Linked DNA regions of Arabidopsis thaliana. The protein of the gene in region 1 interacts with the protein of each later gene in a pairwise test. Each region holds a gene or a part of one and is shown on either strand. Other genes may lie near its edges.

Region 1 (10,576 bases):
GAGCAGCCGCCACCGGTCGGGACCTCCACCGGACCTGTGAACGAATAAGTGAAACTAATATCGGCTTTGGATTTCCCGATTTGATATGTGACGTATCTTTGACCGGTCTTATCGTTTCCAAGATGATCCAGAAGTTCTTTCACCTGAACATGAACCTCGCCGATGTCTTTATCTACTCCTCCACGTTGCTCGCACTTGATCTTGAAAGTGATCACAAGGCGGTTAGCCTCTGCTAAGTTTTGGTCGAGGATGAACTTCATGACATCATTGCTCCATTTGGGGCTGGTTCCACCGTCTCTTGCCGCTTGTGTCCGCTGCTCACGGTGGTCAGAGCATTTTGGATCACCGGATAACTTCACGGCCACAAAAACATCCATCTTCGACACTTTCTTAAGCCCTTTTGCTGATGTCACATTTATTTCTAGAGATCTCGTCCCCATTTTGATATTACCCAATGAAAAAGCTGGTTCTCTCTAGACACATTACATATAGGAGTTGCAGAGAAGACTAAGTGAAAGTCAATGACAACTATTTATAGAGGACCTTTTCATTATTCCACCCACTGTTCTGTTTTTAATGTCTCTCGAATAATGATTTTAATATAACTGTAGGAGTAATTATTACCATTAAAGAAGGAGTCTGTGTTTGACGAGTAGCCAAAGGCATATTACAACTCGGTCAAAGGTAATAGACAAAGCAAAGACAAAAAAATCCATTGCAAAAGCAAACTGAATACGATCAAATGAAGTTTGGCACACAAGATACAGAAATCTTCAAGAAACTTTTGTTTATTCTTCGAAAGATGCAAACTTTGGAGATAGGAGGAAAATCTCGACTAGTGATGAGTATGAGTCCCATCCCCGGTTTCTTCGCCTTTCCTTGATGCAGCTCTTAGTTTACGTTGTTCTTCTTTGTATATCCTGTTTCTTCGTTGGAACTAGATCAAAATACACAAATATGCGCTCCTTATCAGTTCATCTACCATAGGCTTATACTAAGCAAAGAAGAAAGAAACAATATTGGAGACAACAATAATAAAGCTTTTGATTCCCTCAAAAGTTCACACGCAAGCCTATACATTCAGTTTCATTCAAATTTATGATTTCAACACATAGAGAAGAGAGACAATATCGTTCCATTTGAAAGATCAAACAGAGACAAGAGATAAAGAGTAAGTCTCAACTTCCAAACTTAACAGCTAAACAATTCATGGCCATGAAACTAAATCTCAGATAAGGGAAGTGGTATTATATTAACCTAATCCCTACAAGCAACCTAGTGAAAGCATCCACATATATACTTGGGAGATTGCAATTCAACTTTTCTAGTTTCAAGCAAAAAGAAAGCTTATGTTTTTATACATGTAGCAAACGAAACGACCAGACTGAGAGATTGTTCCAACGGATCTAGGAATGACTTAAACTCGTGATCCAGAAACTATCGATGATCGTACAGACGACCGATAACAGGACGAATCATCAATGAAACAGATCAAGCAATCAAAAGCGTGAATTGATGACACATACAACAACACAGGAACGATAATTGAAAGAAACCCTAAAAAAAGGAAAAAGGCGAAACCTAACCTCTTTGGAATGGTGAAGACACTCGAGGTAGTCTTCACGAAGAAGAGTACAGTCTTTGGGCTCTCTGCAATGAGACATACATTCGCTGAAATCCATCCAGAAATCGTAACACCTCCCTTTGTTTCCCGTTATCCCCCACCCCGACGCCATTTTTCCTTCCTCTCTCTCTAATCCCAGGAGAAATTTAGTCGTCTTCTTCGCCTGATTTCCGAGGATCCGATCTATTCAGGTTAATCCAATTAGAACCCGAAATAAATGTGCCTTTATATTATGGGCTTTAACGTAAACACTTCATGGGCCCAACTTTGAGATATCAATTCCTGTAATTACGTTAGTGTGAAGGTAATTATTACCAGAATTTTACCCGTTCCTTAACATTAAGCAGGAATTGTTGTTACTTTGTTACTAGGCTTTTAATAGTTTAATAAAATTTAGTCTGCTGTCGAAAAAAAAAAAGTGCAAAAGTTCCTTTATGTTTGACTTGTTGGTGGATTAGAATTTCAAACCCCTGATTTAGCAGTTCTTAATGGCCATTACGGACTATATATGATAGTAATTTATATGTCATATATAATGTTATATATTTTATATATAAAACATTTAATTAAATATGACTTTAGTTTTTTTTTAAAGAATTATATTAATTTTTGGTAAAGTTTAATTCTAGTATTTTTACGGTATTAAAAAATGTTTGGGTTGTTTTTTCAAATTTAATAGTTAATTTTCCACTTTTAAAGAAAACAATTGCTTTTCATTGTTTTGGAGAAGGTAGTTCACGCCCATGGCTGTTTCTAAGCTAGGGAATCTTTTCTTATGTGAGAGTGAGAAAAGGTTGTTCAAATATTACCCAGAGACAGACTACCTTTGTTGCCTCTCCAGACTTTTGTGTTATAACTTCTTTCGTCGAAAATTTAGTCTCACTTCGTTCCAGGCCCGACTCAATATTATTTTGGGTTCTGTGCTAAAAAAAAAAATATCCCCTTTAAACCTTTAAATCCAAAAAATTTTAGTTTACGTGGCAGTGTTTACTGTCTCTTGTAAACGTAATACACTTGTAGTTCTATTCAACCATTGTAATTTTATCTAGAAAAATAAAAATTCCTATAAATTAGGACCCTAAAATTTAAGAGAGAAAATAAGGACTCTGTGCCTTGGCACTGCTGGCACACCCTGCTTCGTTCACAACCAGGATCTGTTCGGAAAATCAGCACTTGTGGGTACCAATATGGACTTAGCTATGTACAACCTGAATGTCTTCCGAAAATCATCAGCACATCTCCGCACCGGTCTCGAATATCTAATATCGTGATGGAATTGCTGTTCCCAAATATTTTGCTTACCTCTACTCTAGTGTCTCTAATTATATTCGGTTATCGTTACAAATATTCTACTTGAAGCGGTTACTTATCTAGCTGGTTTTGCTTATGTCTACATCTTACTATTTAATATTTATTCTGTTAAGCTTTTCCATAATCTATTAACATTTAATCTCGCCTTGTTTCTAATAAACACAATGCTTTAAAACAAAAATTAGTCATTACACAGTATACATACTACATAGCATATTGCTTAAGAAAACCAGAGACGAGAAGCATTCTATTTCTACAAACAGATGAGATATAGCTTACCTTAACATTCTATCTCTACACTTATTATGCATCAAAGATGATGATGTCGTTATGGCTTCACAAGACGATAGGCTATAAATTTATCATCTCTAAAGAGCATCTCCGCGTCTTGAGGAAGAGTTATCTCGGGGTTCCATGGGCGACAAACTACATGTTGGCCAGTTGGTATACTCAGGTGGCCAGTTCCCATTATGAGCTTCTTTTTCTCACTCTCATCTACTACACATGATGATGTTTCACTACCATCGTTTGTGGGATTCTGAGGCATCCACGAAGAACAAGCAGCAATGTTCCTCTTGATACCATTGGCAGCTGGTGCATTAAGAGTAATAACGTTTGTAGGATTGTGAGGTATAGGCAAAGAAGAAGAAGCAATGTTCATCTTCATACCATCAGTAGTTAGTGCACTAAGAGTACCATCGTTTGTAGGATTCTCAGGCTCATTCAAAGCAACGTTAATCTCCTTAGCATTACTGGCTGGTGCATCATGAAGATCTGGAAATTCTGCACAGAATCAAGACTGTAGAGCATGAGTTTTGAATGAATTAACCATCTTGACCATTTAGCATTAAACTGAAATTGGAATCCATTTCATGCAGTTAAAGTAAGGTTGGCTTTCTTATTTCATAGCTGTTTCCTACCTATCTCAGGAAAATACGTCCCTCTGATTGGACCACAAGTTATAACAAAGAAAGAGAGTTTTTCCTTTAACAAACAAACCAACGGATTATTCATGTAGTGTAGTATTCAAAGAAAACTAACCATCTTCATTCACTTTAATCCCCTTTGATGGGGTATCAGGGGTCATCACCACCTTGGAAGAAGGTTGAGAATGGATCTCTTGTGGACTGCTCTTCACATTTGAATTTACATCTTCTTGTCTCTCACTAGGCAAAGTAGGCGATCCGGTCTGGTTCGAGTTCCCATTTTTGATACTCATGAATGCAACTTTAGCAGCGCTCATTTCAGCCAACTTTTTGGTTTTCGCCTCTTCTCCACTGAAAACTTTACCAGCAAACTCAACAGTTGAAGTAAAAGTAGGCGCATGCGATGGACCAGATGTAGCAGTTGCATAAAATGGTAACAGAGAACTCTCTTTCTGTGCAATTTCTTGTAACAGGTTCTTGTAGGCAACATCAATTCCCTGAAACAACAAAAATTTGAAAATCAAAATTTAAACAAATGTTGAAAAAGCACATAACTTGTAGTCCAAAAAGAGTGTGAGGAACTAGCCTCTGGACTTTGTGGCGTCAAAGAAGCAACTGCAATTTTTGCAGCGGCATGTTCAGCCGATTTTAGTGTCGGAAAGAATTCAGAGCTCTGGAAAGTCTGTCCACAGAATGTAACATTACATCTAAATCTAGGAGCATGAGGAGGCCCTTCTCTCTCATTCGCATACACTGGTAGCTCCAGATTATGTTGCAGGGCATACGCTTGCAGTTGACCTTTGTATACATGATCCATCTCTATCTAAACTGGCAGGAATTAACCAAACATAAAGAGATCAACGTGTATCAGAATTTCTCAAACATAAATGGCAAACGAAGAGACGAATTTCAGATTTCAGAATTGGTCAACCAAACATAAAGAGATCAACATGACAACATGTATCAGAATTTCTCAAACATAAATGGCAAACGAAGAGACGAATTTCAGAATTGGTCAGACTCAATGATCTAGGGTTTCGTACAGATCGATAACATCAAAACAGCGAAAGGAATCTACGATTATAAACACAAAATCGTACCTCTTTGAAATGGTGAAGACACTTCGAGGGAGGAAGTGAACAATCAGACAAAGCATTCGCTGATTGAAACTCATCGAGAAACCATAATAAGTATACACATGTAAATTGTCTCAAGGATACGAAAGATTCGGGTTAACCCAGCTTGAACGGGTATGATCCGAAATAATCCATTAATGGGCCAAAATTGGGCTTATTCATGAAAGTTGTAAAGGCCCAATGAAACTCGAAGTTGATCAGAAGGTTGTCGGCGACCAAATTTCTAAATCCAATTTTGGGAGGGAGACGACGGCGGAGGTTGAAAGGGGAAAGAGCAGAAATGGTGACCGGAGAAGCGTTGATCGCGTACAGAGCACTGCTCAGGGCAACAAAGAAATCATTCGCCGGAGATACCGAGATGCTAAAAGCTTCGGCGTCCGAGATCCGTAAGAAATTCGAAGAGAATCGCCTCGTGGCTTCTAACTCCGACATCACTCGCCTTCTAGAAGAGGCGCGTGAAGCGACGCAGTTCATTTCCACCATGATCGTCCAGGCTAAACTCAACGAACGCGGCGGATATGGTTCGTTCTGACTCTTTTTATCTTGCGCACCATCTGTTTGTTGAAATGCGTGAGTGAAAGCTCATATCTTTGGAAATTTGATTTTTCTGTGTCGTAGAGATGAAAGCAAGTCAGGAACACGCGGGAGCTACTTTGGAGCTTCCATCAGAGGAGATGCTTCGGAAAAAATCTGTATGAGTGTAAGTCTGAAATTGGATTACTTCTCCCTTACTCGTTTTGTTTGATCGGGAAAGGTGGATCCTTTTTATGCTTCTCTGTTTGTTTTCTCTTTTCACGGCCAAGTTGAATCAATAAGAAGCTCTTTACATACATTTTTGGATGAGATTCGTCCATTTCAAAACAAGAATTACAGAATTCACTTACATCCATGGCTAATATTGATTATGTTGTATGTTAGACTGTAGACCTCACTTTTCTACTTTTCTTAGAAGCATTGTCTTGTCGTAGAGACCCATCTTTTGTGTCATTCTCAAATCTTAGAAGCCTTGTCTTGTCGTAGAGACCCATCTTTTGTATCATTTTCAAATCCATGTCACTTTTATTGTTAGATTGAAATATAATTATTTCCTACATAAGCTTAGGTTTCGTCATCTATCTAGATTTCCTTGTCCCCGATTGTTTCACAGAGTCTGATGGGAAGTTTGAAATAGAGTTGACGCGAGAAGATTGAAGCCGTGATGGTCACTCTAGTTTTTCAAACCAATAAAATAGAACCTATATTGTTGATACGGGGTCCGAGAAGTATGGTTCATTTTCCAATGAAAACCACTACACAATCTGTCAAGATTTACCCCCATTCATGAGTGTCCACAGCATTTGCTCAGAAGTCCTTTTTTATCATCTCCATTCATGATTTTAAGTTCAGAGTTCTAGCTTTCTCTTATTAGTGTCTCAGTCATCTTCTCGCTGGTGTGCAATCCTTAGATTCTTGTGTTGAAGAGCATTGTTTCATAGGAATCATGTGAATCGTCATAACCACATATACTTTGTTCTCTCAATTCATGTGAGTTTGATTCAATTCTTTAGCTGTATTCATAAATGCTCACGCATTACGTGATTATGTTGTATATAAGAACTCACGCACGTCCTAAAGAAAGTAGCCATGTCGTGAATAAAGAAAAAGGTAACTAAAAAAATGGATTCGAAAAGAGATATGGTCATGGGCCTCATGGCGATGACAAAACTACATAATGTAGCTTTTTCGATGTAAGGTACCAAAACCTCATTCCGTACACAACTAGCTCATCTTCCATTTATAAACAGTTTCATATATACCATATATTCGTAGCCATTGATGAAATAAATATTATCATAGAAGGATTTATACTCACTCTTCTTATCACTTCGTTGCATAAGAGATGCGACAAATTACGTTTTCAATCTTTGTTAAGTCCGCCTGGTAGAGTAAGAATAAGCTCAATGATTAGCAAAACAATAAATAAATAAATAGATCGATCACTAGTTTTATTAGGTTGGAGTAGTTGTTGAAAATGGTAAAAAAAATAATGATATTTCTATTCAACATAGTAATCATAATACGAGATAACTAAACCAACGAATTGTTATCGGCAAAACAACAAATTAATAAAATCGAACGAAGTGTTAGAACGAAATGTTGTGATCATAACTCCGACACCTACAAATGGACCGCCATACTTTTTATACTTTCACTTTAAAACCTACCAAAACCCCTAAATTAAATTTATACGTGTCTATATATACGATCTCTCGTCGAGACACCAATTAATTTTGTATAAAGATTACAATTCTCACAAAACATGAAAACTCCCATGAGTTCTTCTATCACGTTTGCACTCGTCTTCTTTCTCCTTTCTCTCAACCCAACTTCATCATTACCGTCCAAACGCGAAAGCTACGTTCAAAACGCGTGTAGTGTTACACGCTACCAAGACCTCTGCGCTAAAACGCTATTGCCGTTTGCATCAGTCGCCAAGAACAGTCCCAGCAAATGGGCACGTGCCGGCGTTTCCGTTGCCATAACCGACAACAAAGACGTCCTTAGACACCTTCTCAAAACGAGGCTTTCAACGATTGGGAAACGAGACCGAATCGCTTTGTCGGATTGTCGCGAACTTCTCCAAGACTCTCTTGATAGTCTCCACAAGTCCTTGGCCGTCCTCCGGACACTCAGAGCCAGCGAGTTTCAGCAGCAGATGAGTGATCTTGCTACGTGGCTTAGCTCTTCCCTCACTGACAAGGACACGTGTCTTGATGGGTTTGAAAAGACATCGACGAGGTCATCATCAACGGTCAGGATGATTCGGAAGAGAGTCACGACGTCTATGTACTTGTCCAGCAATTCTCTCGCACTCCTCAACAAGCTAGCGGCTAATGGTTTGTAATCTCTTAAATCATAAACTTTTACAAAAGCTTTAATTTTCCATGAAAGTGTAAGATCATATTATTAATAAGGTGGTTCATGGCTGATCACTACGATAACTGTATCTCTCTCATTATAATGGAATTATTTACAGGCGAAATAATAATGGGCCTAATGTCCTATATTGGGCCAATGTTATTAGTCAAGTATTGTCATTTTTATTCGACCGTCACAAGCCCATGCCACCTAACGAGTAACGAACCTCTCTCTCATCAAGTCAAAACGTGAGAAGAAGTCGGTGATAAAAACCTAATAAAAATCACTCGAAAGATATTTTTTTCTTGGTTAAACACTCAAAAAGATTTTGTCTAACTACTATAACTCGTTTTAGTCCTTTCCATAAACCATTTTAATTCCTTTTACGATAATAACTTGAAATTTTCTTACTCTTAACGCCACAACATTGCTAAACGAATTTCATACAAATATAGCGCAATTATTACTTTGATAGCATATTATTGTTGCTTCATATCATATGTTTAGGTAGTTGCAACTTTTGTTTTGTCTACATGTATATATCACCGTGTTAATTATATATTTTGTTTCATATTGTTAAGATCAGTATATAACTTTTTAAAACAAGATGCTTTGATTTTGTCACTTACATATACATAGTTTCATATAAGAGATCCTTCCTAACATTGTAGTTAGCTAGTCTTATTCCATTAGTTTTAAATGGGTATAAAATTTAATTGTTATTTATAAGAAAACAAAGAAGTTGATTAGAGAAAGAAAAAAACAATTATTTATAAGAAATTCAATTATTAGCCATCGCGAATCTAAAAAGTTAGGCAAGAAAGTGAAGGAGATGTGGGGTGACATAACTAGCTAACCGCCAGGTTAGCATCACAAGTCAACGTAAACATAAAACACCAATGCTCTTCCATTTTTCAAAAAAATTGTATTCACATCCGAGTCTGAAGTTTTTTTGTGATTTGTTTAGATCACAAGTTAGGAATTTTGTAGTTTTGCGCAGGGAGGGAGACGCCGAGGGAGGTGTTTAGGGAGGGAGGGAGGTAGACGCCGTCGCTACTTAGTGTAAATTATCTTTTCAGATCGTAAAGCTAGTAAAATATTGATAGTATAATTCATATGTAGCTATTAAAGGTAGATCCAAACCATCATGGTTTAACCATGTGTTATTGTGTCGTAATAAGCAAAGGCTTTATCTTATATAATCAGAAACACTTAAGGACGTAACTCAAAATATACAAGTTTCATTAACTATAATCAAATAATTGTGTTTGAGCAAATGTTTCAAATATATGGTTAGTTTCAATCAAAACGGGTTTTCTTTTATTCTAGACCATTCCATTTTTTTCTAAACTACTTAGACAATCGTAATCACTCGGTAAAAAACACTGTTACAAAATGGGGTCGTAGAGATCTACCACTAATTAAATTGGATTTACCTTTTACTCTTTGGCTCCTTTTTGAAAAAATTTGAAGTTAACAAAATAACCAAATAAAATAAGAATAAGTCGTCACATTTAATCTCATAGGCAATTTTTGAATCTAATACAAATCACGTTTTTCCAACCCTGATGGTCAAAAGCGTTATGAATGTGCTTTGTAAAAAACTGTTTAGTTTGTTAGGACATGCTTTTATATTATTACAAATTTTAAATATCATGTTTATGCTATAATTGAAAAATACGAACGTCGAAATCACTCAAAGCTCACACCAATCTGGCTTTGAGTGCTAAGTTAGGGTTTGGCATTGACTTTGTTTACGTGAGATTACCATACCTAACGAACCTATCATTTCATTAATTACAAATTGAGTATTAAAAAAACATATAATATGTGTTTTCGTGTTGTTGCAAATAATGGACTAAGTAACAATATTCATTGGTCCGATTTTGAAGGAAAGTTCAATGAAATAAATAAAAGGGTAATCTCGTAATAAGAGTGAAAAACAAGCCTTAACCTGTAAACGCTTACGCTAGTTAAATACACAACAAAGACCGATTCGCTTTTCACTCTCTCGTTCAAGGTCCGACTCAGTTCCCGGCGAGTTCGACTCGGTGATTGATTTTTTCCTAGAAAAATAAAATTTCTTCTTAACGATTGATCGATTTTGGTTTTCTATCTTTCGATTCTAGATCTAGAATTCAATTTGTGAGGTTTGGAGATGGCGAGCGAGCTGATCAATCGGCGACACGAGACGGATCAACCAACCGCCGATGCTTATTACCCGAAACCAATCAAACCATGGTTCACGGTGACTCGTCCGATGCGTTACATGCTCCGTGAACAGAGACTTATCTTCGTTCTCGTTGGCATTGCAATCGCTACTTTGGTTTTCACAATTTTCCCTCGCTCCACACAATCAACCCCTTACTCGGATCCTTTCTCCGGTTACGGAATCCGACCCGACGAATCGTACGTTCCGGCTATACAAGCTCAGAGGAAACCTAGCCTCGAGTACCTGAACCGGATCGGAGCAACAGGCGGGAAAATCCCACTGGGATTGAAACGCAAAGGGCTAAGAGTGGTTGTGACCGGTGGTGCTGGATTCGTTGGATCGCATCTCGTGGATCGTTTGATGGCTAGAGGAGATACTGTGATTGTTGTTGATAATTTCTTCACTGGAAGGAAAGAGAACGTTATGCACCATTTCAGTAACCCTAACTTTGAGATGATCCGTCACGATG
Region 2 (11,308 bases), on another chromosome or scaffold:
AGTATACATAACAAACCATTGTAACAGGAGGAAGTAAAACTTGTATCATAAAGTGAGTTCTAAGCAGACAATCATAAACTTGTATCATAAAGTGAGTTCTAAGCAGACAATCATAAACTTGTATCATAATATTGGTAAGTATTTAGAACAAATAAAATGTTGAGTTTTATACGAAAACATGGTATTTTATCTGATGTCATGTTGCTTTCTATAAACTTCCATTCATACATGGCTACTATTTTACACGACACCACTCTAGTTTATCCGACTATACATTATTTAATAAACTAGTAAGTAATTAACAATCATGTGCGATGGAAAATGAGATTTAGGTACCCACATATTTATGATTTTTTTTATTGAGATTTATTTTGCAAATCAGTTCAAATTTTTGGTTTTTAGCATGTTAGTTCAATAATTAACAAAGAAATTAAACATTTGTATGTACAATAACATTTTATGAGGAAATTAACATATGACAAAGTTCTAGTCGATAATAAGTTCATGCCTTTCAAACAAGATGAAAAAGGATATTTAGCAAAAAATTGATATGTCTAAGTTTATTCAAGTTTTTAGTTTTCTAAGGACAATTAATCATGCTCAATTGCTCATAATGAAATGCATCATATCATTATATGATTTGGTTTTGCTTATAAATCATAAATCATAAATGACGTTTCCCTTACGAAAAATATCAAATTTTTATATATGAAAGATAATGGGCCGTAAATGATCAGTCCCATATAGCCCATTCCAAGTACGCAACTCATTTCTGGAGATGTTCGTGGAGGTTTTCGAATTTGGTTTTGTTTCCCAAATACCCAAAATATCATCAAGCATAATGGGCCGTAAATGCTCTTTGATTTAGCTTCCTAAAAGCCCAAAATAGCATCAAGTCTTAGTCTATAGGGCTATAATTGTCAAAATGAGCCAGCTCGCTCAGCTCAGCTCACCTCATGATGAACTTGGATCTTTTATGAGCCAGCTCAGCTCAACTCATTTATTATATGAGCTTCAAAATACAAACTCGGACTCAGATCATCTAAATCACGAGCTAAATGAGCTAGCTCGCGAGCTAATGCGAATAAATGAAAAAATTTATATTTTCTAAACTTGTTATGTAAATTATATATTTTTAAAAATATATTTCTATTTTTATAGATTATATAAATATTTATGTTTTGATTATTGACTTTTTGTGTATATTACTAATATTTATTTTCAGAAATTGTTATGTAACTTCTATATTTTCTAAAATATATTTCTATTATTTATAGAAAAATATATATATACTTTGATTGTTAGCTTTTTGTATATATTACTTCAAAAAAACCAAGCTCATGTTCATTAAAGCTCGCTCATATAACTCGTGAGCTAAATAAAGCTCGATCACTAAACTCATTTATTAAATGATCCTTAAAAATAGAACTCGCGCTCATGAATAACTGAGCCGAGTTGAGCCAGCTCATGAGCTATCAGCTTATTTTGACACCCCTAGCTATAACCAAAACTGAAGATCTCTTGAGTGTTGCATCAAACTACTATTTTTAATCAATAGTTAGCTTTTTTTTGTTATATTATCAATTAAATATTAACTTTTATTTGATTAAATATTTATTTAAATTTAATTTTGATTTTAAAATTTATCGTGCAAAATTTAGACTAAAAAGTTATATACTCAATTGTTTTTCATATTCGTTTCTTATGAAATTCATATACTCATGTGTATTGGATTTAATTGTAGTGATTTATTTTGTAATGAAAAAGTTAATATTTTTAATTAATAATACAAAAAAATAATTTCTTTACTATATCTTAAAAATTTTAAATTATTTTTTTTACATTTTAAGTTTAGTTATTAAATCAAAAAATAATTCTAGATTTCATGTAACTGAATTTTTTTTTTTGAAAATTAAATCTCGCCTTTAGAGTAAAAAAAAACTCTATTTTTTTAGTTATGTAGTCTGTAATATGAGGAATTAGATGTCACAAGCTAAAGTGGGGCCGCATGGAATGCACGCGAGAGATGCAAGAGAGAGAAAAAAATAAAATCGGGAAAATCTAAATCGTTGAGAGATTATAATCCAACAGCTGAGAAATAGGATAAATTATCAAACTAGAGAAACTTTGGCAGCTTTGGATGCTGAGAATGAGTAAATGTCAATGAATGAGAAGGCAAACAATTAAGGAGAAGCAACACAAAGTGAAACACAATCTACTCAAGCAGCTACTACGGTATTTAACTCTAATAAACGCTTAAAGTTTGATGTTCGGAAAGAGTTTAGACCCATGTTAGAAGTTGTTTAGATTTTTTCACTACTTTTGTATTTCTGTTTTAAATTAGAATCTTTGATGAAATTCTGTTTTGTATAATCTTTTAAATTATTAATGTTTGAGTGAATTTTGGATTTATAAATTTGTTAGAAACTTTGATTAAATTAAAGAATTAAAATCAATTAAGGGTAACAAATAAAGTTTTTTATACAAAATACAAAATACATGATTCAATTTAAATACATATGACAGTGAATATAATATATATGTCAAATACAGAAATAAATACAATTTAAAATATCTATATAAAATACAGTTTTTTTGAATCCTTTTTTTTTTATGAAGAGGCCTGTTTTGAGTTTGGGCTGGGCTGAATTGTTTTTACCCACCACAACATTCCTAAGGATAATAATACAGTAACCCTAGAAAGGTTTCCTCCACCTTCCTCTTCCCCTCCTATATAAAAAAAATCGACATCGCTTTTGCTCACTTCTCTCTCTTAGGTTTTTTTTCCCTTCTCCCAATCTCATCTTCTCCGAAAACCTTTCTTCTCTCAAATTTCTGTGAAAACATGTCTGACGACGAGCACCACTTTGAGGCCAGCGAATCCGGAGCTTCCAAGACCTATCCTCAATCAGCCGGTAACATCCGTAAAGGTGGTCACATCGTCATCAAAAACCGTCCCTGCAAGGTCTGATTTCTATTTCATCATCAAACATCGTTCTCGATCTCTTTTTCCTGATTCTAGATCTCGTCTCTGTATAGTAGCTCCTTGATTTTGTTTTTATCCTCGGATTTGACCTGGTTCTGTTTAGTTTGAATTTTTCTTATAGATCGCTACTTAGATGAATATGATGAATCTTATCCTGTTATTTTGATGGTGGTACCTCTCTAGATTCGTGGAATTTTGGGAAATGAAAATGAAAAATGGATAGAAATCAAGCAATATCAGACGACGCCTTTTGTGATTTTGAATCTAAGTAGTCTATTGATTGATTTGATTTAAACGTTTATGGAGAACATAGATTTGATTTTGATATTTTGGTTTTGATTAGGTTGTTGAGGTTTCGACTTCCAAAACTGGCAAGCACGGTCACGCCAAATGTCACTTTGTTGCTATTGATATCTTCACTGCTAAGAAGCTTGAAGATATTGTTCCATCTTCCCACAATTGTGATGTAAGTTACTACACAAACTATGTAGATTCATTTTCACAGTATTTGATATGATTGTGTGATCTGACTCAAATATTGTTCCTTTCTCTTTTTTTCTCAGGTTCCACATGTGAACCGTGTTGATTACCAGTTGATTGATATCACTGAGGATGGCTTCGTATGTTTTTCTTTATACTCACTTTCCTCATCACTCCAGCTTTATTTATCTATTCTTGCCATAACTTTTGTACTTGTTTACATTATAGGTGAGCCTTCTCACTGACAGTGGTGGCACCAAGGATGATCTCAAGCTTCCCACCGATGATGGTCTCACCGCCCAGGTTATTTTCTTGTCTTTTCATACTCGCACACAAATGACTTGACTTTGTATTCATCTCTCGAATTGTGATATTGAAAACAGTTGTTGTGTTTTGTTAATGCAGATGAGGCTTGGATTCGATGAGGGAAAGGATATTGTGGTGTCTGTCATGTCTTCCATGGGAGAGGAGCAGATCTGTGCCGTCAAGGAAGTTGGTGGTGGCAAGTAAACAAGTATCATTCGATATATTATTACCAGTTTGACAACGGACGTCAATGTTATAAGAACCAAAAGATGTTTTTCTTTTTCCTAATTTAGACCCTTTGTGTGTGTTTCTTGTTGCAAGACAACCATATCTATTGGTTTTGGATTGTTGGAAAAGTTTGTGTTGAAACATTCAAAGTTTCTTATGAGATGTTATTCTTAAAACCACTTTTTGTTTGTTCACTGGATATGTTTGTTCATGAAGCTTGTTTTAAGCAACTCTTTACATGATATTCATTGCTATTTGCACGATTCAAGAGTGACATATACATTTTATTTAACAATAACAGTGTAAGATATGTGATTGAATACTTGTGGAAACATAGAGTTACACAGGCTGCGATAGTATTCGACATTTTAACTGGTTTTGACATTACACGATTTTGTATTCCTTGCACAAAGTCTGGTAAAACAGTAATAGCAAGAAAAGGTCAATGCTTTCCTTTGTTGAGGAACTGGAATTAGTGTATTTGTCAGGAGATTATTCTACTTTGAGAATCTGATGATAGTACCAAGCCAATCTTCAGGAACACTATCTCTCAAATCACCGTTTAGTGCTCTCTGTGAATGAGTTGTCGCAGCCTGTTTGAGGAGATTGAAAAAAAGAGCATGATGGCGGTTAAAAGCTCCATCTTTATCTAAGATATTTAGTTGGTTAAAGGCAAAAGTTGTCTATAATCTACCTTCACAATGTAGACATCGACTCCAAGTTTTGCAATCATAGCAGCTTCTGATATCTTCGTTTCCATTCCACCGGTTGTATCGTGCGCCGCAACAGAGTAGTCAACTGTTTGATTCCAAAAATCAGAGAGGTTTGAACTTTTAACAAATCCCTCAGACTTATTGTATTGCATAGTTTTACAACATTGGTTCTTTCGTTTACCTTTCTTGTCTGTGTGCTCCAACAGTGGATTCACAACCTTCCAGCTTCCATCTTCTCCAACAGCTGCATGAACTGTTAGTATCAGGCCAAGTCTGGAAAAGATATAAAAAAAACAAACAGTAAAGTTTGAAACTAACCGATCTCTTTCAAGAGCACAGCGTCGGGCTCTGAAGGTGAAGGTGGTCGATCGTAGACACCTAGTACATCTGTCTTTGTAAAGAGTTACTCAGATAACAAAGAATATATAGGAAAGAGGGAGAGAGAACACAAATTAAATTTCCGGTTTATACTATGAATAGGATACGAGAAAGACAACATATTCTGGCTTCAAATGATCTGCAAGATGACGGATGATAACATCACCACTCAATATGGTGCAGCCCTGTTCAGGACAAGATTTTCAACTGTTCAAATTCTAAACGGACAAGAATCTAGATAGCTATTTGGTATCTCTGGAGAGCATATTACCAGTATATTGTCCAGCACTGCATCTCCATGGAGAACCTGGCCATGACAAAAATTACTGTCCAAATTACAGTCAAGAGACTTTGGTAAACATCTACCTAATTTCACTGGTGGGATCAAAACTTACAGGGACAAATCCTGAGTCTATGGTTTTAGCTACGGTTGCTAGATCTGCAGAAGCCACCTAATGCAAAAAGCAGTCTCATTGAAATCTAAACCCACATGCTTCAGATCAGGAAATATGTTAAGAAGTTCAGTTAGCTCTTACATCTCTTTTGGAGGTTGACCAACCACATGAAAATGGAGACATGCCTATCGTAGGAATGCCCTCTGCAAGAGATCATAATGTTTAGCTTCAAAATTCATCTTTTCCTCTTAGCCAGAGTAGGAAAAGAGAATAAGCTTAAGAGATACCTCGGGCTAGTGCTCGTACAATTTCAAGATTAAGATTTGTCACCTGCAAAAAGAAGTTGTAGACTATCAGAACAGCTCAAGACTATCTTACGTAAGAGCATCAGATTTAGCTAACAGTCTCACAGATATACGAGTAGCAACGAAACCAGCTTTGACAATAGGTTTCTCAAGTCCTCCTTTGTGAACCCCAGATCTACTGGCCTGAAAGTGCCCAAAGGAACCTAATGACAAAAATCAGAACAACACATAAGAAACCCAAAAACTAAATAACAGCTCAACTAACACAAGCAGGTCAATGATCTGTAAGAGCTAAATCAAAAATGTATTTTGATCCTTCATTATAAGATTTAAGCAGATAAGAATCAATCTCCAACTAACCAGCGCCATGAACCACAACAAATTTACTAAACTCAGAAGACTTTTGATCCCCTATGTCATCCACATCACAAGAAATCTCAGAGCTTCCAGGTCTCTTGCTCCAATCCATGCCAATAACCTTGCTTGGAGCTGAACCCTCCAACATAGCTTGACGTAACTGACACGCCACGACCTCCAGATTTTCATCGTGAATCTTCTCCAGCTCGTTTTTGCAAGTAATTGCCGCACCTCCTATCAAATCATTTAGACATTCTGCTGTTACAAAGTCTAGACAGGTAAAATTGATGGGAAATGAATAAAAGACAGATCTTTAAAGTCTTTCCTCATCTTCGGTATTCAATAGTCAAATCAGAATCAAACCCATAAGACAGAACAACTAAAATGCGATCTAAGAATCGATCCAGCAAGTATTTTAATAGGGATCAAAAGACAAACCAAGTTTCACAATGCAACGAATTGATCTGCTTCGACTCTCGGAAATATTCAGCTCCATTGTTGCGTCTCTCTCTAAAGCTCTCGTCTTTAGTGGTCAACGGTATGTCTCTCTCTCCCGCTCTAACTCAACTTCATCGTACTCGTATCCTTCTTCTTGCCATTTCCCATTCACCGGAAAGATTCTCTCTTTTTTTTTTTTTTTTTTTCCATAGAAATATTCTTCTTTTTATTCCTCTAAAGAAGCCCATTAAGCTATTATTGGGCCTAACCAAATTGATCAATTTTTTCAAACCGGGTTTATGGTTTAGTGTTTTAAGGTTTCAGTTAAATTAGCGGTTTAGCTTCAAGTTCGCGATGGAGTAGAAGAAGATTACCTCCGACAAAAGCACGTTCACTTGTGCCACCGACAAAATTGGAAATCTTACATTTTTTGTTTTCTCTAATCAAAATTATTGTTGGAACGTAGACAAGATCCGTTCCAAGATTCGTCTTTTTTTTTCAATTTGATTCCTGGGTTATCTGAAAGATCTTCTCTTTGCTTCGATTTCTATCTCCGCTGCTTGTGAAATCAACCTTTATGGTATGTAATCTCGAACTCAGCTAAAACACACTTCACTCTCGGAAACATGGAGACGGAAACGAATCAGGTTTTACGGAAACCGGAGCTAAAATCATACAGTCACAAACAATTTCACTCCTCAAATGCGTTAGAGATCTTAAGAGAAACAGTTCGAATTCTCCGGTACAATCTTGGTGCTTTAATGTTAACTACTGCTGTTTTGATCTGTCCTGTCTCTGCTTTGCTCTTACCAAACTTTTTAGTTGATCAATCATTAGTGAATAAACTCACAGTGAAGCTTCTTTTAGTGGCGAAATCAAGTGGTCTTCCTTTGCAGCCTTTTGTCAAACATTCTTGTCAGAAATTCGCTGAAACTGCTGTTTCGTCTGCAATGTGTTTCCCTGTGTTTATCACTGTGTCTCTGTTGTCTAAAGCAGCTGTGGTTTACTCAGTGGATTGTTCTTACTCGAGGGAAGTAGTTGATATAAGCAAGTTCTTGGTTATATTGCAGAAGATATGGAGGAGAGTTGTGTTCACTTACGTTTGGATTTGCATTCTGATTGTTGGTTGCTTCACTTTCTTTTGCGTTCTTCTTGTAGCAATCTGCAGTTCCTTCTCTGTTCTCGGCTTCTCTCCAGATTTCAATGTTTATGGAGCTATGCTAGTTGGTTTAGCCTTCTCTGTAGTTTTCGCTAACGCGATTATAATCTGCAACACTGCGATTGTGATCTCGGTTTTGGAAGATGTTTCAGGGTTAGGAGCATTGATGAGAGCTAGTGATTTGATCAAAGGGCAGATTCAGGTTGGTTTGTTGATGTTCCTTGGATCAACTTTAGGATTGGCGTTTGTGGAAGGATTGTTTGATCACAGAGTGAAGAAAGTTAGTTATGGAGATGGCTCTTCGAGGTTATGGGAAGGACCTCTTTTGGTGTTGATGTATTCCTTTGTGACACTTATAGATTCGATGATGAGTGCAGTGTTCTATTTTAGCTGCCGAGTTTATTATAGTATGGAAGCTTCTAGAGGTGAAACTCAGCCAATCATGGAAACGGTTACGGTTGTGGATGCTGAGTAATGGTGCGTTGTGCGGATCAAACTCGGTGAATGGACATGGAAACGTATTAGCTGAAGAAGAAGTTGTATATCATCAAATGGGGTTTTATTGAGCACTTTTTGTTTCACTTTGAAACTTGATGCATCTTTAAGGTTTTTGTTATATATGGTTTCTCTGTTTACATTGTTTGAAGATTATATAGCATCCCAAGTTCGTTCATAGTTCTGCTCTTGTTTCTTTTTAGCCAGTTTGATTGAGTCTTGAAAATCTTGGGCGTAAAATAGTAAAATTAAAAAGTAGGTGGGCCTTTATGCAAGGTAATTATATTACAAAGGACTTGAAATTAAAACCAAAAGTAAGAACAAACCGGTTCGCATGGTTTAAATAATCTGTGCTCGAGCGGTCAAATTGTAAAACCACCAAATAATTCTTCGTCTCCCTCACCGTCGCGGCGTCGCCACTCGCCGTCACAACCACCGTCGTTCAACATCACTGTCACCAAAAGAATCACCGTCGTTCGGTCGTGACGTGTCTGGACCTATTTCATCTCTTTGCTCGTGACTCGTGAGTCAAATACTCTTGGACCTTTGCTGTTATCTGTACCTCTAATTTTGTGATTTTCAGATTCCTTCTCGTTTATCGAGTTGGATTCTCTGTATTTGAATGTATTTTTGATAGGGTTTCGTTTGGAAACCAATTTGATTCTCATATTTAAAGTGTAGTTACGTGGTTTGTGTTCTCTCTTGGGGATGTTCACCACCTGTTCGATGAAATGCTTCTACGTATTAGTTTGATGCAATTTCTGTATAGTTTCGACGCTCTCCGAGCTTGTATTTAGATATTGATGGTTAGGTGACTCTAGATTCTGAAACGAACATTTCAAGGCTCTAGAAACTTATTCTGGACTAAGTTTATCAAATAAACAAGGGGATGGTTAGAGCCTTAAGCTTGATATGTTTATGTTCGCATTGCAGTAATGGAGGAGGGACGTCAAAAAGACTTGCAATTGTTGGAGGAGATTATCGACAAAGGTTTGAAACAGAAGCTTGTACATGCAACTGCTTCACGGTATTTATATTTACTTCCTTTTCAGATCAAAATTAAAATTGTGAGTATGATATTAAAGTGTATGTAGGATTAGTTTAGTTTGTTTTCTTTGCATGCTATTCACTTTTTGTTTGAGGTTTCGATTCATTGTGGTCTCTGCATTTGTTGGTTTTGCAGGGACAAGATCTTTGAAGAACAAAAAACACTGTATCCTTTTGTATAGGGAAGACTCTAGCTTCTCGTGATGTGCATCATCTTGTTAAGCTGATCCTAAGTGTTTTGTTAGTTTCTCCCATGTCTTAACCCTATCAAAGATGACGGGTTCATTTACCAGTCAGTTTTTGACTTAGTTTTGTGTTTCTAAATCGAGAGGAACTCTTCTTGGTGTAGTTATTGACAATACTTTGCTGTTCTAGTGAAATCTAATTCGGTTGAAATATTCTTGTTTCCTTGACGGTTACTCCCACTCCAGCTCTGACTTGCGGAAAAACCTAGAAACTCTGGAGAAGAATGGTGTAAATAGTCTCAAAACAAGGGTCAACCTTGGTTCAGAAGTTTACATGCAAGCTGAAGTGTACGTTACTTATAGCTTTGGTTCTTTCGTTTAATTTTAGTCAAGTCATTTAGCTATGAAAGGTCATGCATTGTCTGCATACAATGAAATACACTGTCTCCATACACAGCTTAATGCAATTAAGAAGTGTGCTTTTACTGTGTTCTGTATGTTAGAAGCTAGTTATGTATTATTGAGCAGAAAACGTTTAATAAATGGGGATTAAAATAGGAGATGCTTTCTACCAGGTTTGCTTCTGATTTCGTTTCACTTGACTTGGGTGTTTGTTTGAGTTCAGGCCAGATACTCGGCACATATTCATGGATGTAGGCCTCGGCTTTTATGTGGAGTTCACACGGCAAGAAGCTCTTGACTATATAGCACAAAGGGAGGAAAGAACTCAAAAGTAAGAGAAATCTTTGCTTTTCTAGTTTTCTTGCTCCATGTACAAGGAAAATATGGTTGTATCATTGTATATGATGAATGAGTTCTCCGGTGGAATGCAGTATAGTGACTGAATGTTGATGCAATATAAATGTGGTTTTTTTTGTTTTTAACAGACAACTAGAAGAGTATACTGGTGTTATTACGCAGATCAAAGGGCGCATCAAACTGGTAAGTTCAAGTTCTTATCTTGCTTTGTGATAGTAGTCAATCATTTGTCTTATGAGGTTGAATTGGACTAGAAAATCACTATTGCGTAGGAACCCTGCATCAGACGGATATATGAAAGTGTCATCGGATAAGTATTAATGTTAAATTACCATTGCAGGCTCATTACCAGATTCAGCAAATACTCAATCTTCCTGAAGAGAATCCGTCATCCCGGCAACGTGCGTTTTAGTACACTACCTAGTGGAAAGTTGAGGATTTTCTCTTGCAGTCTTATCTTCTCGATTTGTTCTGCTTACTGTTTTGAGTTTTTAAAGCAGAGAATTAACTTAGTTTGTTCAATACTAACTCTTTCTCCGGAATGGACCAAACTGTTGGTGTTAGATAAACATATCGATTAAGCAATCAAAACTTTATAGAATGACTATTGTTGTGGGGGTGAATAGTGAATCGCACTCTGTTAAATCTGCCATTTCTATTTTAAATATTAATAATCACATGTTAGAACTTAGAAGATCATTAACAGTTTAACACAGCTGATGAAGAATGAAATAAAAGTATGAACGAAACAGATACAAGATAATGATATTCCACGTCAGCAAAGTGTCCAAATATCTTCCGCTTCCCTGTCTTCGTCGGTCCCTTTTCGGTTTTCACGGTAAGGCTCGGAGGAAAACCTAATTCGTCCGGAGAATCTCCACCTCACTCTCGCCAAACGCATCTCTGTTGTAGGTAAGTCACGGATCTTCATTCTACGCTAATTGTTATTGTTATCGTTATTCTTGATCTGGGCGTTTTTGTGGAATTTGCATCTAAAATTAGAAATTTGGATACCAAAATCCACTCCAATTGAATAAGGTTTCTGAAGAATTTTCGTTTGATTTTGAGATCGAAAAT
Region 3 (11,169 bases), 3.9 Mb from region 1:
TTGGACGTTGGTATTGTAGTTTGATGATTTTTTTTTTGAATGTAATGTCAAATTATATTCAAAGAGAAAAATATACGTTTGTACAACATGTGATTCGAGTGTTTGAATGAAAGAATTTAAAAGAATTGCTTCGAGTAGTTTGATGATTTTAGACTACGAGTTATCTCAGAATACGAGTTAGGAGTTGAATTTGAAGAAACAAGAGAGATGAAAGGTTTAGAAAATGAATGACAGCATTTTGTAGATATACGTCTGTCTTCATACAACTATTTTTACCTTCTTTTTTTTTTCCTTTTTTTTCGTCAACTGTTTTTACCTTACAGTGGAGTTTTAAGACGATCAGTTTTTTTGTTCTTGTTAGAAAAAACAGTTTAGTTTTTTCAATTAACACTAAGACAACATATTTAAAAACACTCTACTTTGGGTTTCTTCCATAAGTAGTAGAAAAAAAAACAAAACTATATATAATTGGATCAATGATATGGTTCATACGCATGTCTTGTGTATATGAGTCAATATCGAGAATAGGTGTTTTGCACGAAGAAATGGTGTCAATGATGAAAAGTTCCAACTCTACAAAGAGATGCTAAAAAACTTGTGATATGAGAAAGTTATGCACTAGTGCAAAAGGCTTTACATGGCATGTTTTTAGAACAAGCGGTAGTTATGAATATGATGATCCAGTCAAATACCATATGCAACCATGATGTTACAGTATATGCTTTATTATGTTAAATGAATAAATTGACCAACCCATAAGAGAAAAAACAATGGCTTCAAAGCGAAGCACTTGATTTTAAACAAATAAAAAATCATTCCACGGGTCGACCACCCACCGTCTCGACCATCATACACGGGTTTCCAATGCTTAACTCATCCCACCGTCGTGACCTAACCGACTTAGTCAACCCCGTGAGCCACCCAACCACTTCCTCCATCCCCGGCCGTTTCTCTCTACACGTTCTCACACACTTAGCCGCCACTAACCCCAAATGATTCCTCACACTTACATCAATCGGTGGTCCGATTCTCGGATCATAAATCCCACCGATTTTGCCTCTTTTTATCATCGGAATCGCCCAATCTACTATAAACGACGGCGAATATCTAACGTCGATTGCTTTTCTTCCGCTGATTATCTCTAACAACAAGATCCCGAAGCTAAACACATCAGTTTTCGTGCTTAATCTATCAGCCGTTACGTAATCTGGATCTAAGTAACCCATTGTTCCTGCAGGTGGTGTTGATTTCACTTTTTGATCATCAACATTGCATCTGATCGCTAATCCGAAATCGCCTAGCTTCGCGTTTAGATTCTTATCCATCAATACGTTTGCTGATTTTATATCTCTGTGTATGATCGGTGTCTCTTGAGAATGTAGAAGATGTACGGCTTTTGCAATCTGAAGAGCGATTTTGATTCTCTTACTCCAGCTCGAAATCGCACCGGAGTTTAAAACGGTATCTGAGTGAATCACGTCGTATAAGCTTCCGTTTCCCATGAATTCAACAACGAGAAGTGGTTCTTTGGAGTTATCGGCGCTAAAACCTAAGAGATTCACAAACCTAGGGCTACGGATTCTGGAGAGAATCTCGAATTCGTTGTGGAACTCACGGCTGATTTCTCGAGATTTCGAAGGTCTCTTGACCGCGATGTGACGTGAACCGATGACAGCTTTGTAAACGCTTCCATGGCTTCCACGTCCGAGGAGATTGTTGATGTCGAAACCTCCTGTGGCTGATTCGAGATCGCGATGGAGGAAACGACGAAGTCTAGGACGGTCTTCAATGGGAGATTCGGGAGGAGCAGAAGCTTTGCTGGAGGTGGATCCGGAGGTTGATGCGGCAGATGAAACGGCGATTGCGACGGCGGATCCAGCTTTGCAGGAGAGATAACCCATTGAATCGAGGGAAGAAGAAGATGAAAGTGAAAGGGAAAGGTGTACGTGGAGTTTAATGGCGTGAGTCGTGAGAAGTCATTTTTGTAAATTAAGGCACATTTGATTAGACTCAAGGAAGTGGAGGGGTCGTGTTTCTAATTAATTATGCCTTTTCCTAAATATTTCAAATCCACCCTTATAGTTTTTAAAAATTCTATTTCGTACTGATAAATAATAATAGTTTCAATTTACACCCTAATTTTAGTTGACGTAAATAAGATTAATCATTCAATTGGTCCCGCTTCTGCCACCTGGCACTTTAATGTTTTAGCGCGATAGAAGGTGACGATGGATGAGATGACGTGTAATAATATAATTGGCTGAACACGTTGTTAAGGAGTAGTTACTTTCGTATATAAATTCTGAAAACATAAATGGTAAAGTCGCAAAACGGGAAAAAGCTTAAACCTTTATTTACTGATTAAGTCTACCGCCGGGAAGACAAAGATGCCGACGATTTTCTTTTTCCGATATGTGTTTCTATTGGTGGTGATCTCATTGGTGGGTTTTTCGATCGCTGAGAAAGTTAACTCTTCCGGGGGAATGGTCTGGTCTAGTGTTAGAGATGAAGCCGAATTGGTAGAAGATTCCGGTGTGGTGATCGGAGAGCAAGATCAAATCGATGGTGGATTCTCTTCACTTGATGGGATGTTACACTGGGCAATAGGTAAATTTTCTTTCTCAGTGTCCTTCTTCCTCACTAATTTCATTTAGATCTGATTCTATGTTGGATATCTTCGGTTAGGTCACTCGGATCCTGCGACATTGAAGGAAGCAGCTAAAGATGCAGAGAAGATGTCTTTGGATGAGTTACAGAAGCGTCAATTAGAGTTAAAGGTACGGACTTTGTGATTTTGGTTTTTAATTTCTGATTGCTTTGTCTCTGGAAGTTCATGAAAGTGCTCTTATATAGGAGCTGGTGGAGAAGCTGAAAATGCCGTCGAATGCGAAGTTGATGCAAATAGCGATAGATGACTTGAATAATTCATCCTTGTCTCTTGAAGATCGTCACCGTGCTTTGCAGGAACTTTTGATCCTCGTTGAACCTATTGATAATGCAAATGGTAACTGGAAGCTTGTAACTTGCTATTGAATCTTGTATATATAAATGTGTTTGTGTTACAGTTTCACATGAGTCTGATCAATTGTGGCATCATTCTTTTCTTGTGTAGATTTGAGCAAATCAGGAGGGCTTAGAGTTGTAGCAGGAGAGCTTAATCATGATGACACAGAAGTAAGGAAACTAGCTGCGTGGGTGCTCGGGAAAGCTAGCCAAAACAATCCTTTTGTTCAAGAGCAGGTTTGATTTCGTTGTACTTGTAGAGCAGAACCGTGTGTTGAAGTATAAACCGTCTGAAACACATCATGTTTCTTGTTCTGTGAATTTGGTTACAGGTTCTTGAACTTGGAGCTTTAACAACACTAATAAAGATGGTAAACTCCAGCTCTACTGAAGAAGCTGTGAAAGCACTTTTTGCTGTTTCTGCCTTGATACGAAATAATATAGCTGGTCAGGACTTGTTTTTTGCAGCACATGGATACATTATGCTTCGGGTGAGCAAACCAGAAATACATCATGTCAGGTTTTGTTCATTCATTCTCTGGATTGGAAAAAAACTAACCATGTTTCGTCGTATTTACAGGATGTAATGAACAATGGGAGCTTGGATATGAAATTGAGACGGAAAGCTGTATTCTTAGTCGGTGATTTGGCTGAGTCTCAACTACAGAACACAGAGAAAGATGAACTTCCTATTTTCAAAGATCGTCTTTTCCTAAAGTCTGTTGTCGATTTGATTGTGGTGCTTGATCTTGATCTCCAAGAAAAGGTAGAACTATTACAGGGGCCTATGACCGTTTTTCTTCCTCTATGAATCTTGGCACACATCTCTTTCTAACTTATGCTACTCGGAAAATATGTTTCAGGCTCTTACAGCAATCCAAACTCTTCTTCAACTTAAATCCATAGAGCCTCAGGTTCTCAAAGAGTCCTGCGGGTTGGAAGAAGCATTAGAGAGAATGAAGCTACAGCTGGAGGAATCAATGGCGGATGAATACAAGAGAGACTATGCTGCAGATGTGGAGAGCATTCGTGGTGAAGTGGAACTGATCTTCCGCCAAAAGCTTGGACTTTTATGAACACCATGATCAGTAAGAAAGCAACTCCCTGTGCGTTAATTTCTGGTGGGAAAAGCTTTAGCTGTAGGAGTTGTAGACAAATTCTAACTGCCTTAGATAGACTTAAGATGTGTAACTTAGGCGGATCTTGCTGATCCATTTTGCATGTTATTGCCTCTACTCGAGCGGGTTTCTTCCCCTCATCTTTACTTTCATATCATGTTTGCAAGGTTTTATGTATAGTATTATGAACTTCCACAATTTTCTTGATTCGTGTGCCATGTAAATGATGGGGTTGCAGAAATGTCGGTTTTACAGTGTTAGAAAAAAATAAGTTAAAATAGAGATCACTCAAGCTTTGTCACACGGCAGGGTTAAAAAAGATATGCGGTCAGTTTCCTCCTGACCTCGACTGCAAATGCGCCTATGGCTGCGTACTCATCAAGAGCCTTCTCAACTATGTTGCACCGATTAAATTCGGGCAAGAACAGCCACAATGCCGTCACCATCACAAAAGTGAGTGTCAAAACCTGACTGATTGCTTTCGGGAATCTCCACCTACCGTTAATGGTTTTCTTGATGGCGATCTCCACGGTCGTGCAAAATCCATTTATGAGGAAGAACCACATCATCTTCCAGTCTGGCCTCAACCGTCCCATGTAGAAGAAGATGAGCTCGTGCATTATCCCAGAGACAACAAACGTCCCGAAAGCTGCAAGAATCTGGGAATAGTTCGGGCCCAAAACCGAGAACAGTTGAAGTGACGGTTCGTACACGGTTGGCCGTAAGATTCCAGTGACCATCAGGTTCCATCGTCTCCCCCAGAAATCTTGAAGTGATGTCGCTAGGTACGGCTTGTTGAACTGTGGCTCGAGCTCAAGATCCGACATGGCTCGAACCGCAGCAGCTGTGGCGGCAAGGATGATCTCAAGGGCGAAATATATGTGGATCGCGTAGAGAGTCAGCACGACTTTCTCAGGCAATTTGGTACTGTATTCGTAGGCTTTGATGATGAGAACCACAAAAACTGCCTTTATGGTATAAATCAAAGGACCCTCTGTGGATCCTTCATGGGAGTGAGTTTTTGTAGGTTTTGGGCTCAGCTGAATCTTGATGGGCAAGCAAGAGACAGCTAAGAAAATAGGGAGAGATAGGGGTTTATGGTTTGAAGAGAGAGGACCGCGCCCTAATGCAAATAATAAGAGCTTGAAATTTGCTAGCCAAGCGATGAAGAAAGCCGTGATGCCGAGTAAATGTAAGGAATATATCAAGAAAGGTACTATGAAGAAAATGAGGAAGACAGGGAAAAATAGTATGAGCCTTTTGATTCCTTTTGGAACCAATTTGGCAATGAAAAAAGTGTAACACAGTGAGATGATCACTAAACCCCATGCCTTGATGAAACTCGCCATTTTTGCTTCTTGAACTCAAATCTCGTCGGGAAGCAAGATGATGATGATAAACACGTTTACAAAACGTGTCCGCCAGCGAACACTAAATAATGATAGAGACGTGCAATAAGTTAAAATCCATGAGAAAAGTCTTCTTCTTTTTCTATACGAAACAATTTGACAATTGACATTAAAGAACCAATTCTCTTTCTTATAATATATTATTCATTGGGGTCTGGGGATATGGTAAATGGCTTTGCTTATTGTTCCGTCGTAATTTCTAGTAATAAAACCATTTCAAAGTTTGGTACAGACAAAAAAAAAAACATTTTAAGGTAATCTCAAAACCAAAAAGCCTATCAATCTTTGTACTTGGATGTTTTGTTGTTGCAAGGATTGCAGAGGAAACCAACGAGTTTCTAACTTTGATTCTCTGTAAGATTTTTCTTTCTTGGGCCATGTCAAAAAATTATAAAGAGTTGACTACTGTTTTATTCATCCACTATGTTAATCAAGAACATATTCTTCAACACCATCTTTACTTTAATCAAAAACCCTAATAATATCACCATAATTCTATGTCCCAAACAGAACAGGTGTTTTCTTTGGAGATCTTGAGTTTGGACCTCAGAATCAAAGATATATAAAGATGAATGAGGAAGAAGATAAAGATCAAGATCGAGTAACGAGAGGATGTAGTCACACTCATAGCTGTAACCCTCCAGGCCCAGAGGATGCTTCTCACTCCCACACATGCTTCCACGCTCACACTCATCTCATCATCTCTGTAATAATATCTCTTCCCTTAAGATATGGTATGTTTCTGATGATATTTTAATGGATTGTTATAGATACATATTTTTATGTTGCAGCAGGATCAGCAAGAGAATGATCATTCTGACAGTAGCAACAAGAAACGGTTATGTGGTAATAGAGAGGCAGTGAGGAAGTACAGGGAGAAGAAGAAGGCTCGCACTGCATACCTTGAAGATGAAGTGATGAGATTGCAATCTCTGAATGAGCAATTCCTTAGAAAACTTCAGAGCCAAGAAATGGTGGAAACTGAATTGATCAGACTCCGGGCTCTTCTGGTAGAGATGCAGGGGAAAATTGAAGTTGAACTTTGTAGTTTCTCGTTTCAGAAACAATGCAACGGTTCTGGTTTTGTGTTCAAAGAAGGTGATTTCTCCTACTATTTGGTTTACTAGTTGAAATTGGTTGTCAACAATCTGATACGTTGATGAAAAATTTAGCATTAAGAGGAAGAACTAGTAAATAGCTAATGAAATTTGAGCTACTGAAATTTTATTGAACAATACGAAACGCTAAAGAACTAGTTTCATTTATTTGGTTATCGTCTTAGTAAAAATCACATTTTCGAATAATGAAAACGTAAACTAATAGTAAACCATTCATCACCATCATTTTTATACAAAAGTGACCTAGACCTAATCTTGACACAATTTTGGATCTCGTGTAATCACACAGATGGATGCAACTTAGCAACAAGTAATATGATGTGTGAAGCGGCAAGAGTGGAGTGCGAGGAGGGCCAAACACTTCATGATCCTATTCAATCTTTTGTTCCTCAACCACCACCATTCTCACGTTAAGCGTTTACGGGCTGTGGTATTGTGTGTATATATATACATATGGGTTTAATTAGGGGCATAGAGGTCGGATTCCAATATAGTTAACATATACACAGATTGGTAACTTATTCTACATATGTCTATTTTAAGGGTACCAAAACATCTTGATGTGGAATTGATTTTGAAATGAAGAGGAGGATGATTGTAGATTTGTAGTTGTATGTATATATGATGATAATTGTGGGCTTAGAAGATCTTTGGGGGTCCATTTATAGATTCTCTATATGTGGGTATGGTGAATACCCAAACCAATAATAGATAAGGACTTAAGGTATGCATCATACATGCATGTGTATATCATAAATTTCAAATGCAAATGAATTCCATTGGTGTGGAATAGACTGCCCCAATCATTATTTTTTTTTTTCAATTCGCCTCAAACATTTGCGCATAATAATCATTCTCCCCCATGTAAAATTTACATGCGAATCAAATATTTCTGGATGAGTCAATGATAAGGCCGCAATGTTAGATTTTTGGGGTAAATTATTTAGCAAAGAGTATATATACTTTATAATATTGAAAACACATAATCATAGAGTGAAGTGTTAGGTGCCTCGGCTCTTGTGACTAGACTAGACCACTGCTTTTGACACCCAAAAAATAACTATTATAATCATTGCTTTCCTTTGTGGGTCATTCTTCTTTTATAAAAAGGTCCTTTCGAAATTTTAAATTTTCAAAAAATAATAATTCTTTTTTAACCCTACATTAATTTAGAACAATCATGTCTTTTCATCTTTAATCCTACCCTCTCATGAATATTTTATTAAAGCAAAAAAAAACATACTCAATACTTTGAATATGTGAAACTACGTGTGTAAGATTTTTTCTAGATAATTAGTTATGTTGCTTCAAATAAGAAACCTATGGAATTGGTCAACACATTTGACAATAAATCATATGCCCATGAGATTAATTAAGACAGATTTTAATAATGAAATGGTTTTTATTTAATTTCATGTGATCGAAGCATGCAATAATGATTGAATGAAATAAAATTCAAGTGTCTCTCACCAAACAAATAAAAGGACAATAAAAGCAGAGATTAAGCTGAGCAAATTGACAATTTGGATATGACATGCTTTTTATGTTTCCCTAATTACTCAAATTTATCTTTAAATGACAATAAAATTCTGCCGTTTCATTTTAAAATAAGCAAGTTGAAGAATAAGAAAACCAGGTAGTTTATTTAATTTTGTAATCAAACCAAAAGCTTAGCTATACTTAAAAATGTGTCCCTACCAAAATAAAATGATGAAAAATGAGAAAGAGACAGTAGGAGAGAGTGGAGACCCCAGCGATACAGCTGGTCTGCATATCAATCACCGGCGCGTGACCAACACATCCCAACGGAAGGCGCGTGTATCTTTCCTGTCCGAATGAACAAAAAAAAAAAAATGGGGTTGTGTCAGAGAACGTGCAATGCAACCATCTTTTGTTTTTAATTTGCTTTTTAAAAACAGTTTATTACACAATCTCTCTGTGTTTTTTCTATCTCTCTCTTTCTTCTTCCACTCGTGAAAGAAAGACCAGAGAGTTTTCTCCTGATCCACACAACAACAACAACACAGAGATCCCAAATCCGGAAGATATCTTCTTCTCTCATAACTCAGTTTACTCAGATTCACTGAAACATACAATTAAGTGTACGTACTTCTTCTCTTTATCTTTCTCTCTTAAATTTGATGATAAGAAGAATCTAATAATATGATGACATCTTTCTTCATCTACTATTCCCAAAGGAGCAGTAACCGTCAGTCTCTCACCTGCAGCAAAATTCACTCTTCTGCTAATAATGTTCTCCACAGAGATTCATCTATTGATCATTTTGACTTTTTCAGGTAAAGTAAATTTTTATTTCTCTTTTCGGTCTAGTAAAGTTTTACTCAAACATAGAAAGTTACGATTTTTTTTTTGTTTTGTTTTCCATGGAAAAATTCTCGGCATGCAAAAACTTTTTTTTTTTTCCTAAAAAAGTATTTACCTTTTCCTTTTTTTCTCCAACTCTTTTTCTTAAAGTGTTAATTTTTTTTCTTCTTGTAAGCACGCGAGCGAGAAGAAAACAAAAAAATGAATAGAGTAGTAACTTTTTATACTATTTCTCTTTTAAAATTTTTGGTATTTACTGGTGTTTCGCAGGAACCAGAGATGAAAAATTATAGTTAAGGTTAGTAGTAGTAGATAGGTTTAATAAATTTGTAGTTAAGTAACCCAAAAAAATAACATTAAACTAAAATCCAACACTAGAAACCAGAGAGACCCTCTTAACGACAACAACCTCTCTGTACACAAGACAACAAACACTCTCTACAAAAACACTACTCTTTCCTTCTTCTTCTCTCTACTCTATTCTAATTCTAAAGAGAGAGAGAAAAGCTATGGATGGATATGAAGCTACTAGGATTGTGCTCTCTAGAATCCAAAGCTTAGACCCTGAAAACGCATCAAAGATCATGGGTCTTCTCCTTCTTCAAGATCACGGTGAAAAAGAGATGATAAGGCTAGCTTTTGGTCCAGAGACTCTTGTTCACTCTGTTATAGTGAAAGCCAAGAAAGAGTTAGGTCTCATGAACTGTTCAAGGTCTCCGTGGAGTCATCAAGATGAGTTGATTAGCCCTAAGAACAACCGTGGCTCTTCACTCAATCCAGCTTCTTTGCCCTTTTACGCTAATGGAGGAAGATCTTCTAGGGATTTAACCAACGATTTCGAGCTCATGGATGATATGAACTCCAGAAGTACTGATTTTTTGGGCTCTGTGCATGCGAGAAGCGGTAGCTGCGTTTTGGACGGTTTAGGGTATGGTGGTGATTCTGATTTAGGGTTTGGAGGTGTGCCCTGTTCTTACTTCGCTAGAGGCTTCTGCAAAAACGGAGCTAGCTGCAGATTCGTCCACAGTGATGGAGGAGCTGATTTGGTTGGCTCCCCAAGCAGAATCGAGCTTCTTAGGTCTAACTCGGTACCCCCAAGACTTGCTCACCACTTCATGACTCGCTCTTCTCTCCCTTCTTTTTCAACTAAAGGTGTTAACTTGCAGCAAAACGATGTTCAAAGGTTTGACCTTTTTCCCAACTGCTTCTTTTGTTCATTTACTGTCAAAATGTGTTTTTTATATTTATTTATTTTTGTTAAGTTGTGTAAATTTCTGTGCAGAGCTGCTGCTGCTTTGATGATAGGAGATGAATTGCAGAAGCTTGGAAGATGGAGACCTGAAAGGATTGATCTTTCTGCTATGGCTTGTCCAGCTTCAAGACAGATCTATCTGACATTCCCTGCCGACAGTAGGTTCAGGGAGGAAGATGTGTCCAATTACTTCAGGTAATTTCCAACAAAACACATTGAACTTTTATTTGGTCTGAATGTATGTTCTTGTATGTGACATAAGATGTTGTTATGGTGGTTATAGTACTTTTGGACCAGTTCAAGATGTGAGGATACCATATCAGCAAAAGAGAATGTTTGGTTTTGTGACATTTGTGTACCCTGAGACTGTTAAGAGCATTCTCGCCAAAGGGAATCCTCACTTTGTGTGTGATTCCAGAGTTCTTGTCAAGCCTTACAAGGAGAAAGGCAAAGTCCCTGACAAATACAGGTACTTATATTGCTAGTATTAGTAACTCTTATACTTTGGCCTGATTGTTCCTTGAATCCCTTGTGTTTACTGCGGTTTGTTGTGCAGAACTAACCAAACAACAGAGCGAGAACTGTCCCCAACAGGCCTTGATTCTAGCCCTAGGGACGTTCTAGGTAAACAAACACTAAAGCACTTGTCTCTTTTGGTTTTACTGAAGAACCCTTTACTTGCAGCCATACTGATTTGCTTGTTGTGCAGGAGGGAGAGGGTTTTATAACAACACTCAAGATGTGTTGTGGAGGAGTAAGTTTGAAGAAGAGATTCTTGAACTTCAGAGCAGAAGGCTGATGAATCTGCAGCTTCTTGACGTCAAGAAGCATTTCCAACTCAATTCCCCTACCAACATTCACTCTCCGAATCCTTTCAGCCAATCACTTATATCTCCACGCCCATTGTCCGTGATCAAGAGAGAGTATGATGGAGGAGAGAAAGG

What was found.
Region 2: the proteins of AT3G62790 (region 1) and AT1G26660 interact in a two-hybrid assay, tested with the Arabidopsis thaliana proteins (one large-scale study listed by BioGRID).
Region 3: the proteins of AT3G62790 (region 1) and BZIP24 interact in a two-hybrid assay, tested with the Arabidopsis thaliana proteins (one large-scale study listed by BioGRID).

The regions. Positions count from the first base shown.
Region 1 is NC_003074.8:23,222,486-23,233,061, forward strand, and holds AT3G62790 (NADH-ubiquinone oxidoreductase-like protein), read right to left. Parts: upstream 1,842-10,576; 5' UTR 1,737-1,841; coding exon 1,587-1,736; intron 938-1,586; coding exon 836-937; 3' UTR 545-835; downstream 1-544. Other genes in the region: AT3G62780 (Calcium-dependent lipid-binding (CaLB domain) family protein), read right to left, coding at 1-440; DRB4 (double-stranded-RNA-binding protein 4), read right to left, coding at 3,264-3,718, 3,977-4,358, 4,448-4,678; AT3G62810 (complex 1 family protein / LVR family protein), read left to right, coding at 5,278-5,518, 5,616-5,695; AT3G62820 (Plant invertase/pectin methylesterase inhibitor superfamily protein), read left to right, coding at 7,297-7,881; AUD1 (NAD(P)-binding Rossmann-fold superfamily protein), read left to right, coding at 10,054-10,576. UniProt on the Arabidopsis thaliana protein: Accessory subunit of the mitochondrial membrane respiratory chain NADH dehydrogenase (Complex I), that is believed not to be involved in catalysis. Complex I functions in the transfer of electrons from NADH to the respiratory chain.
Region 2 is NC_003070.9:9,203,123-9,214,430, forward strand, and holds AT1G26660 (Prefoldin chaperone subunit family protein), read left to right. Parts: upstream 1-8,641; 5' UTR 8,642-8,763; intron 8,764-9,173; 5' UTR 9,174-9,175; coding exon 9,176-9,267; intron 9,268-9,382; coding exon 9,383-9,487; intron 9,488-9,718; coding exon 9,719-9,820; intron 9,821-10,097; coding exon 10,098-10,205; intron 10,206-10,359; coding exon 10,360-10,414; intron 10,415-10,571; coding exon 10,572-10,643; 3' UTR 10,644-10,753; downstream 10,754-11,308. Other genes in the region: FBR12 (Eukaryotic translation initiation factor 5A-1 (eIF-5A 1) protein), read left to right, coding at 2,846-2,965, 3,330-3,452, 3,550-3,606, 3,695-3,769, 3,872-3,976; AT1G26640 (Amino acid kinase family protein), read right to left, coding at 4,498-4,593, 4,695-4,798, 4,895-4,957, 5,032-5,104, 5,199-5,276, 5,363-5,398, 5,487-5,543, 5,628-5,689 and 4 more; AT1G26650 (Son of sevenless protein), read left to right, coding at 7,213-8,220.
Region 3 is NC_003074.8:19,278,721-19,289,889, reverse strand, and holds BZIP24 (basic leucine zipper 24), read left to right. Parts: upstream 1-5,697; 5' UTR 5,698-5,825; coding exon 5,826-5,884; exon of another isoform or gene 5,885-6,040; coding exon 6,041-6,236; intron 6,237-6,321; coding exon 6,322-6,628; intron 6,629-6,937; coding exon 6,938-7,062; 3' UTR 7,063-7,500; downstream 7,501-11,169. Other genes in the region: AT3G51990 (Protein kinase superfamily protein), read right to left, coding at 813-1,901; AT3G51980 (ARM repeat superfamily protein), read left to right, coding at 2,388-2,607, 2,686-2,777, 2,854-3,004, 3,113-3,240, 3,336-3,494, 3,584-3,769, 3,867-4,079; ASAT1 (acyl-CoA sterol acyl transferase 1), read right to left, coding at 4,433-5,470; AT3G51950 (Zinc finger (CCCH-type) family protein / RNA recognition motif (RRM)-containing protein), read left to right, coding at 9,483-10,156, 10,256-10,420, 10,509-10,694, 10,782-10,849, 10,935-11,169. UniProt on the Arabidopsis thaliana protein: Transcription factor involved in the regulation of salt stress response. Functions as a negative transcriptional regulator of salt stress acclimation response by regulating cation homeostasis.